Linked DNA regions of Danio rerio. The protein of the gene in region 1 interacts with the protein of each later gene in a biochemical or structural test. Links are inferred from orthologs where the notes say so. Each region holds a gene or a part of one and is shown in the gene's direction. Other genes may lie near its edges. The genes, in order: csnk2b, tnfaip1 and chek1.

Region 1 (4,267 bases):
CCCTTCAGCCACAATCAATCTCTGGGTAACATCCACACACACACACACTCATACACTACTGACAATTTAGCTTACCCAATTCACCCGTAATGCATGTCTTTGGACTGTGGGGGAAACTGGAGCACCCAGAAGAAACTCACGCAAACGCAGGGAGAACATGCAAACTCCACACAGAAACGCCAACTGACCCAGCCGAGGCTCGAACCAGCGACCTTCTTGCTGTGAGGCGACAGTGCTACCTTCTGCGTCGCTGTGACAATAACAGTGTGGCTCAAAAAGGAATATGGATAAATTATATTATTAGCGTCTGTTTAGTGTGTGTTGTGTGTGTGTAGTATTGCTTTTTGTTTAGTTTGTTCATTTGTGTGTAGTATTAATTTATTAATTAATCTTCAATAATTTTAGACATGGTTTATACTGTATGCTGTACGATAAAGGTATGTAAAATTAACTGAAAAGTATGTTATATGAGGAGTGTTTTTAAACTAAATATCTAAATAATAATAATAAATATATTTTTATTTGGTTTGCACATGTACTTGCTGAAATATTTCAAGGAATAAATTGCAATATTTCAAGAGTAATTAGTTAAATGAATTAAAACCACATTAATATATTTACCAAAAACAAAAGAATAACTTTTTGCTGAATTCATTATTTTTTGTGTGGCACCCCAAGATTTGGTGCAGCCTCTTCTGGCCATCCCTAAGAAAATTTTCTAGGGACACCACTGCCCGGCTGGGTCAGTTGACATTTCTGTGTGGAGTTTGCATGTTCTCCCCGTTTTCGAGTGGGTTTTCTCCGGGTGCTCCGGTTTTCCCACAAGTCAAAAAAAAAAAAAGGATGAAGAATGTGAGTTGAATTAAGCTAAAATTGGCCTTTAATGTACAAGTGTAAATGAGTGTGCATGGATGTTTCCCAGAGTTGGGTAGCAGTTGGAAGGGCATCTGCTGCGTAAAACATATGCTGGATAAGTTGGCGGTTCATTTCGCTGTGGCAAGCCTTGATTAATAAAGGGACTAAAGTTAAGCCAAAAAGACAAATGAATGAATGAATAAAAGTGACATGCCCGCCAGCTACGGATCACGTGTCAGTTACTTTCATTGAAATATCAGTTTTTCTGACCTAAGTAATTGATCGCATCAATAGAATATTACACGAAAACGAATGCAAGGAAACCAAAAAGTGAATATAGAAAAGGAACGACTCTACAACTCAGAAACTACAACTCCTACAAGATCAGCGACGTGAGCGGAAGTGAGGTGACTTGTGATCACGTGATGCACAGCGGAAGCCTCCAATCAGCGTACAGTTGTGTCGCTGCGGCTAACATCGACCCCGGGAGATCCTTGAGGTAACGTCAGTAAACGCTTTTATCGCTATTATGAGCAGGGATGTGAAGTAATTTCGACGTTATGTTAATTAGCATCTATTTATTTTAATTCGCAGTTTATTTCACACATCACGACGCTCCCCGTTTTACATAATTGTGGATCAGTCGGCGAATTTGATGCGGCCTAGTTTGAAGCAGCGGCAAGCTAACCACACCTAGCATTAGCTGAGCACACAAACCAGAAAATCAACACTTATTAAAACTCTTGCCTGGCTGTTAAACATCACAATGTTTTTTCGGCCTTAGATGGAACTATTGTGCATATGTATTTTACTGTATTCGTCATGAGGCTTAAAATGTGACCAGCAGGCTATGCTAGCGTGCGTCAGACCAGTCCAGTCAATTGTTTACGTGAAAACTGTTTAGACTCGATGCAGTTTGTTATAAACATGTACTCATCTTAAACGTATTAGCAACGCAATATAATTTGCTACCCGAGACTTATTAACAGGGCAGTATTAACCTATTTTCAGTAAAATTGTCGTATGTTACTATTAAAGTGACCCTTTCTTGTATTATTAATAGTGACTGCTACTTTTTACAGTGACTAATTGTTAATCTGCTTTTTTTTAGTTTCCCAACATGAGTAGCTCAGAGGAAGTGTCGTGGATTTCTTGGTTTTGTGGTCTACGGGGAAATGAATTCTTCTGTGAGGTTTGTATTGTCATCTTTGTAAGTTATTCTGTTATGTTGTATAATAAGCAGGTGTGTAATAATACACAGTTAAAAAAAATCGGTGTGTGCCTTTTGTTTGAAGACATATACAGGCATATAATGAAGATAGAATTGCAGTTTTGTGGTTTATTGAACATGTTTGATGACCTTTTTTACTGAAAGAACTTGCACATTAATAAAATGTTAAATGGTTCCATTATCCAGCAAAGCCTAGATTATTACATCCAGTTGCTGTATAGTTTGTACAATGTATTCTGCTACGTTTAATAGGCATGGTGCGATAACTGTTTTCAAGTTATACCATGGCTTGGAAAAGTCAAGGTTTTAAAACTTTCAATATTTTCTGCTGTACCGATCCTACGGTATATGTAAGTGGGTTTTTTTTAAGGTTTTTAGGATGGAAGTATCTCCAGCAGAAAAGATATCCAAAGATGCAGTTTTAAATTGTAAAGAAATCAGTGTTTTTGAAACTAAAGGAGTCGACAGAAGTCAATGATTCTTTTGAATTATTCAGCTTGACATGTTTACTGCTCCAAAATACTTAAATGTTACTCAAATTAAAATATATTGTGTTCTACAGGGAAAACAGTTTTAATTTTTTTTTACTCAGACATTTAAAAAGGATATATTTTAGAGCACCATGAATACCATGAAACCGTTGTGTTTTTATCCAAGGTAATCATATCGTCAGAATCTTATACTGGCCCATGCCTAACTTCTAATGCGTTAATAAAAAGAAAAGCTCCTAATTGTGTCAATGTTTAGGCAAAAAAACTATTCTTTCGAGTTTATATCTTAGAAATACACACTAAATTAAGGTAGATGACACATTTACATGCAGTTTTACTGATTAAGCGATTACATATGATGTGAGATGTTATTGAGGTAAAGTTAGTTTTATATTCGCACACTTGTACTTTCATCTTTTCAATATTGATTGGGTATAAACTGCAGTTGAAATCACCGTTCAGGGCTCGAAATTGCGACTGTTTTGGTCGCATATGCGGGCAAAATTTTATCCATGCGACCTCCAAATATATTTAGGAGCATTTGTGTGACTGCATAATATTGGTGCCGTGCGACCGGTTTTCACTGCAAAATGTTCACCACACATGCAGATTTAGGAGTCATTCGCGCAGAATGCATCTTAGCACCTGAGACGCCAAATGCAGCGCTCATGAATAGTTTAAAACAGTTGTTAAGTCAACTTGCTGCCATAAAGCGCACAATGCTTGCCCCACCCTCAAGCTCTTCTGATTGGCCCACTGCTCTAGAACTGAATGCGAACAAATTGGTTAATATCAGCTGTCAATCACTTGGTCGATGGCTTTCTTTAGATGACAGGGAGAGCTACAATCGCGAACATGTAGAGCACTGAAGATGAAAAAAAGAAAACACTGACAGATTTAGTTTTAGAAAACACCTAAAGTTACAAATAAAGACACGTCTGATTAGTGGTCATGTGGTTAATGTCAATCCAGCGTTTACTCTTTTCCAAGAGTGGATAAAAGACTTCCAGTGTTAAAAGTTCGCTATGAAAATGACTAAATCGTTAGGATGCTGTCAGCTGTGCAGGTGGCGCTATATGTAAAATGTAACACCACGAACACCATCGCAAAGTGGCTTGCATTTATCGACATACAACTTATATTGCAGCTAATATAATTGCAGTAAATCGCTTAATATAACATTAAAACTTGTAGTAACAGTGCTTATAATTGGTGGGTGCGACTAAATTTTTGCTTTTTAAAGTCGGGAGCACCAGTGCTACCATGCAAAATGTTTAATTTCGAGCCCTGCCAGTAGACATGAGCATCACCTTTGTGCTGATTCTGAAACGATGTTGTAGGAATGAATTTTCAGTGCTTCCCATGCATAGGCTTTACTTGGGCAGGCTGCCCAGGTATATCAAGCGTCCGCTCAAGTATATTTAGTGACACTTTTTTTTTTTTTAACTATTATTATTATTATCATCATCATCATCTTCCTTTTACACTTTTTTTGTATCCGCCCAATATCAACAAACATCCGCAAGCGATTAAGTAGTGGAAAATCTCTCCTTGACCCATTTTGTACTGTTCGTTCTGTGTGCGCGAGAACTGTCAACACTCCCACAAACTTTAAGCCATTGAAAAGAAAGTTTAAAACAGATCCTTAATAAATCAAAATATTGTGAAAATCTAATTATGTTTTGTTTGT
Region 2 (3,662 bases), on another chromosome or scaffold:
AATGTTTAATATGTGAAATAAATCATATGCATTTAGCAGAAAGAAATAATTTAGTTCATTGCTTAAAAGTCATTGTCTGTTTGCTCTGCACAGAAATGTGCTGCACCTCCAGGCATTAAAGTTAAAATATTTAAAAAATCAGAGTCTAACCGTTGATAGAGAAATTTTAAATGCTTGAATAAAATAATTATATTATAATGCAGAATCTGCCATGAAATGTCCTATACAAGTTGCTTATTCTTAACTGGTGTGTTAAAAAAAATATAATGGAGACTGGACCAGCCAGTCTTTTTGTACTGTGTGTTTCTATGGCAACCGGAGCATTAAGAGTGCATTGCTAAAAACCAAGTTGGGGATAATTTTAATCGTTAAATGGGGACTGTTAGAAAAAAAGCTGAAGGGTCTCTAAACCATAAATCAAACCATCCAGCTGTTTGGACGTGAATCAAAGGAATATTTGAAAATCAGAAAAATACTCTGTGGCTTTCACAAAGAAAAGAATCCCATGAAGCATGGAAAATGCCAATTGATAGAATGAAGGACTTTTTGCACACTTTTCTTATTAATTGGTGGAATAGTTTTGAATATCATCATGAGTAGTGTCGTTTTATTCCATGAATTCCTTTATTAAACATGATTGTTTTAACAAAGTTGTTAATGAAAACAATTGTTTAAAAATCCTGAAGCCCACAATGGGTTTGTCTATAAATGTCAGTTTTGGTTATAAAACTAGTTGCATGTTGTTATTATCTGACAAGTTTGTCAATTCATATTATTGAAAAAATTGAACCTTTGTCGGTTGCTTGCTTATGTATTTTTATTTTTGTTGGTTTGCAGGACAATAAGGAAAAGGCTCTGTGTGTAATCCCGGTCATAACATCTCCTAAAGAGGAGGAGAGACTGATACAAGCATGTGTGAGGGTGAGACTCTTTTGCAAAAATGCAAATATTTAATCTTTAAAAAAAAACAAGATAAGCTACATTTCTAAATGTCATCATTATTTTCTACTTACAGCCTGTTGTAAAGCTTCTATACAATCGAGGAAATAACAAATATTCCTATACAAGGTAACTATGATTATGCTTTAATGTCACTTTTTGACAGACTCGATTCCTTTTTTTTTTTGATGGATCTTAATCTTCCTCAAAAGCAACTCTGATGACAACCTGCTCAAGAATATCGAGCTGTTTGAGAAGCTGTCTCTGAGCTACAGCGGTCGTGTGCTCTTCATTAAAGATGTAATTGGAGATGAAATTTGCTGCTGGTCTTTTTACGGACAGCACCGCAAACTTGCTGAGGTCTGCTGCACATCCATCGTTTATGCTACTGAGAAGAAGCAAACAAAGGTAAGATACTCTTTGGCCTTGTTTACACCTGGTATTAGGATGCGTTTTTGTCGATCAGACGAGGGACTCTAACCCAAGGGTGGCCAACACTGTTCCTGGAGAGCCACCTTCCTGCAGATTTCAGTTGCTACCCAAATCAAACACACCTGAACCAATTAATTACGACCTGAACACCATGTGATAATTACAGGCAGGTGTGTTTGATATTTGTTGCAACTGAAATCTGCAGGAATGTGGCTCTCCAGGAACAGGGTTGGCCTCCCCTGCTCTAGCCCCTTAACTGTGACCCCACATTTTGCATTAACTGTATATGCATATTTCAGCTATACATTTCATAGGTGACATTTGCATATCATCCACAGCACTTTTTATTTTGAAGTGCTGAGATCCGCAGCACCTGAGCACACTGTTCATGTTCTCCCTTTTTGTTTGCTGTCGTCATTCGGTTCTGTCTTAGTCTAATAATCAGATAACAAAGAACTTTTAAACAAAGTAATTATAATGTATACATGTGTATTGCTGCTTTAATTAGTAATAAAGGCAAAACAATGCATTCTTATACGTCATCGCCATTCAGCTGATATATATTTATATTATTTAAACAAGTATTTGAATAACTAATCAACATTTCATTTCCCAAATCTTGCAAAATCAGAATTGGCTATAAGATCTTATTAATTAAAATTTTTTTTCTTATATTTTAAAATAAATTTTATTGCAATTGAATTCAGATGTTATTAATTAAAATGTGTACAATTATATCAGCTGAATATCTGCTATCCTGCTTTCCACAAATATTAATATCGACCTTCAAAAAAACCCATATTGGTTGACTAGTTTTGACCACTCTTCTGATGAGCAGGTGTATGCTTTGTATAGGCTTTACTATGTCATCATGTATTACTTGTACTGTATTTGTACTATTTAACAGTTTTAACATGCACATTTTTGTTTTACACACTTTTGAGTTTTGTTCTGTTAAACAAAAAGGAAGATATTTTGAAAAATGTTGGAAACTTGTCACCATTGACTTGCATAGTATTTGTTTTTCCTATAGAAGTCAATGTTGACAGTTTTCAGCTTTTCAAAAATCTTTTTTGTTCAACAGAATAAAAAAAAAACCATAAAGGTTTGGAATCACTTGAGGGTAAGAAAATACTGAGTACATCTTCATTTTTGGGTGAACTATGCCTTTAATGACTTTATACAAGAAATAAATCTTTCACAAAACTTTATCTATTGAAACAAACACTGTTCAATAGCACTGCTGGAGAACTGCTGTTTGAGGAGAATGAAACGGCTCTTTTTTCAAAATCTCATTTGTAGTCAAATGTCTTTTTTTTTATTAATTACTGCAGGCTTAATTAATTTATTATTATGATTAATTGATAAAGCTATAATGGATGAGTTAGAGCAGAGATGTCAAAATTCTGTCCTAGAGGGCCAGTGTCCTGCAGATTTTAGCTCTGGCTTGCCTCAACACACCTGCAAGATATTTCTAGGAAAGCCTAGTAAGAGCTTGATTAGCTAGTCCATGTGTGAATGATTGGGGTTGGAACTAAACTTTGCAGGACACCGGCCCTCCAAAAAAGAGTTTGGACACCCCTAAGTTAGAATATATGAACATGAGTGAAGACTGTAAATTTGTATTACAATGGGAACCGTTGAAGAGCATTCTGTTTTTTTACCAAGCGGCAACCTCACGCTCTCCCTTGGGAAGCCAATACAAAAGTAACTGAAAATGCAATTCATCGAAATTCTGCTAGTCCTGGCTCCATAATAGAGCAAATTTCATTTGAGCCCACTGTTACAATGGCCAGCTTCACAGCAGAAAAAAAAGGTGTTTACATCCTCATACAAGAAACGATTTTGGTTCATATAGCTCATATTGCCCTTCATGACAACTGTGAGGGGGCTGAATTTTTTTATAACTAATCCGTTTCCTTTATATTAGGCTATATTAAGTTTGCATAATTAAGGGCGTGGCCACTTGAGTGACAGCTAGGTCTCGCTGTTCACCGTCATTTCACCTCAGCTGACTCCGGCAGATTAGCCACTGAACTCGGCATAAACATCATATTTTTGTGTTGTTTTATGTGGCTTTACACAGTTTCCTTTTGGAATTATTTCTTACAATTATCAGATAATATGGGATGCCTTGTGCACTTAATTGTGCTCACAAACCATTCACGTGGTCTCTGTTTCCTATGTGAGTAAAATTATATACATTTATACCATCTCTATACATGTATTTGTTTTATTTAAGATCATTTATCATTTATATTTTTGTTTAGAGCTGTAAAGCACTCCCAAAT
Region 3 (2,433 bases), on another chromosome or scaffold:
ACAGTTCACACCGATGTCAGTGTCAGCTTTTCACAACCGACCTGTCCTGACCACATGCTGCTGGGCACACAACTGCTTGGCACACCGGGTGCAAGCCAGGTAACAATTTCAATACAGTTAATAATAATTATACAGTATTTTTCAGAAAAAAAGTTACATCTGCTCTAAATTGCATAGTTAATATTTAGATTTGTTGCGATTTGTAGTTTTATTCAGGAAAATAGGCTCCACAATGAATCTTTTAAATTTCACAGTATTCAGAACAGAACAAATAATGACAATTAAAATAGGCTGAATGTTCATATTTAGTTTTGGTTTTGCCTTGGTTAAAATGGTTTTATTCCATGGTAATGGAATGTCACATCTAATTTGGCTCAATGTGATTAATGATTTATTATGGTTATTTTTTTCAGAGCCCCTGGCAGCGTTTGGTGAGGAGAATGACCAGGTTCTTTACTACAGAAAATACAGAGGCATCTTGCATTGCTCTCCGTGATTCTTGTATTGCTTTGGGTCACACATGGAAACAGAGCTGTAATAATCAGGTAACCAGATAATATGTAACATATTTAGCATTTTAAATAATCAAAGACAGATCTCAAACCATATAATGAACTGATCTTGTTTACATCCCCTTTATTAATAGGCGACAGTGTCTACAATGGATCGTCGCAATAATAAGCTGATATTCATAGTGCACTTCCTGGAAATGGAGGAACGTATTTTAGTTGATTTCCGGCTGTCAAAGGTGAGCTATAAATTATTAATTACTTTTATGCTGTCACTAGCTACATTTAAATCCACCTATTTTTATGCGCATTTTGGATATGCGCATAAAACGGTTGATGGAAACGCCATGATGCGCACAAATTTGAAAATATGCATAAAAAACATGCGCATAACTGAGTAGGATAAACTTTTTTTTCCAATAAGAAAAGATGCGCATAAACTTTGATATAACACTTTTACCAAACAAATTCCAGTATGCGTATTAAAAAGGTCATGTGTTTTTGTTTTAAGAGATCATGTGGTGAATGTGAATGAACAAACCAGCAGGCTGAGCACTGTAAAACATCTAAAATGCTGTAACCATTTTAGTATTAGTGTTATTATATTATCAATGACCTCCAGAATTGTCCAGAGCATGTGTGCTCCGCATCTCATGCCTTTAAATGCCACCACACATTCATTGCATATCATTATTTGTCTTCTGAGACACAAGTAATTTATTAAATAAACAAATTTATTAAAACAGCTTCTCCAACCGCTGCAAGTTCTGTTTTTACTTTTGATATTTGGCGGCAGTTAATCAGGAAGTGACGATTTTAGTTTTGTGCATCAATTTACTTAGCATCTTTTGATGGACACATAGCTACTGACTTGTTAATCAACACAACTAAAATAATCAGATTATTGAAATGCAAACAATAACCATAGCATTTTAAAATTATAAATAATGTAACTGATTTGATTAAAGCTCTGTTTTTTTGTATTCTAGGGTGACGGTTTGGAATTCAAGCGAATATTCCTGAAACTCAAACAGAAGCTGTCTGACATTATTAGCAACCAAAAGGTTTTGCCATTGATTTGATGCATATACACATTTTACCATGCAAAGCCTGCCTTCACATGAGCACACACACACACACACACACTAAATTGTTATATGTTTGTGGTATGTGTTGTGATCTGTTTGTCTGAAGTTGTATATGTCTGTTTTGTTGATCCACGAGTGAAGGAATGAAGAGAAATTGTCAGGTATAGTTTGTCTGTTCATGTTTCGTTACTGTGACAAAGAGGGTTTTAGTTTTCTACCTCCTAAATAGATTGTAGGGTTCAGAACATCACAAAAAATGGAAAATAAATCCACTTTTAATAACTCTGTTTGGCTTCGGTTTTAAATTATAAAAAGTATGATCTGTATGAAACATCACATTAACTTCCAGTCCTGTTCAGCTTTTGTTTTATTAAAACACTGAGTTCAGAAAATAGTGCCTTTTGCTTACAATGCTTTAAAAATACCAAATTATCACTAGCTTAAACAATCGGTTTGCCTTAACACATTTGATTTTGATGCAAATAAAATCCCTTTTGCTTGTATGTAGGATTGCTGACTACCTTCTTAAACAGTGTAGCAAAAAATATAGCAGCAATCCAGCTGTAAATTGACAAAATGTGCTTGTAGTTAATCAGACGCTGTTACTTAAATGGTAGACACTTGTTAGTAAACACTTAAACTGATCTTAGTATAAAATTATATTCACAAAATGTAAAACACAAAATGATTTTTCTTTCTTTTATAGTTTTCTTCTATTGATGATGAAAATGTGTTCTTGATCCTCAGAGTGTATTCTCCTGTAGTACATTTATGATAGAAACGTGAATATTATTAGCCTCGTATTTAGCTGGAGGCCATGACAGTTATAGTTACGT

The links.
Region 2: the proteins of csnk2b (region 1) and tnfaip1 form a complex in vitro, tested with the Homo sapiens proteins (2 studies listed by BioGRID, with this or other methods). The link is inferred for Danio rerio from reciprocal best matches to the Homo sapiens genes CSNK2B and TNFAIP1.
Region 3: of the proteins of csnk2b (region 1) and chek1, one has a biochemical effect on the other in vitro, tested with the Homo sapiens proteins (2 studies listed by BioGRID, with this or other methods). The link is inferred for Danio rerio from reciprocal best matches to the Homo sapiens genes CSNK2B and CHEK1.

The regions. Positions count from the first base shown.
Region 1 is NC_133194.1:29,149,636-29,153,902, reverse strand, and holds the start of csnk2b (casein kinase II subunit beta), read left to right. Parts: upstream 1-1,323; 5' UTR 1,324-1,359; intron 1,360-1,966; 5' UTR 1,967-1,975; coding exon 1,976-2,047; intron 2,048-4,267. UniProt on the Homo sapiens protein: Regulatory subunit of casein kinase II/CK2.
Region 2 is NC_133190.1:23,033,546-23,037,207, forward strand, and holds part of tnfaip1 (BTB/POZ domain-containing adapter for CUL3-mediated RhoA degradation protein 2), read left to right. Parts: intron 1-837; coding exon 838-921; intron 922-1,015; coding exon 1,016-1,068; intron 1,069-1,151; coding exon 1,152-1,347; intron 1,348-3,662. UniProt on the Homo sapiens protein: Substrate-specific adapter of a BCR (BTB-CUL3-RBX1) E3 ubiquitin-protein ligase complex involved in regulation of cytoskeleton structure.
Region 3 is NC_133196.1:24,023,908-24,026,340, forward strand, and holds the end of chek1 (serine/threonine-protein kinase Chk1), read left to right. Parts: coding exon 1-99; intron 100-413; coding exon 414-545; intron 546-646; coding exon 647-748; intron 749-1,498; coding exon 1,499-1,591; 3' UTR 1,592-1,879; downstream 1,880-2,433. Other genes in the region: vsig10l2 (V-set and immunoglobulin domain-containing protein 10-like 2), read right to left, coding at 2,402-2,433. UniProt on the Homo sapiens protein: Serine/threonine-protein kinase which is required for checkpoint-mediated cell cycle arrest and activation of DNA repair in response to the presence of DNA damage or unreplicated DNA.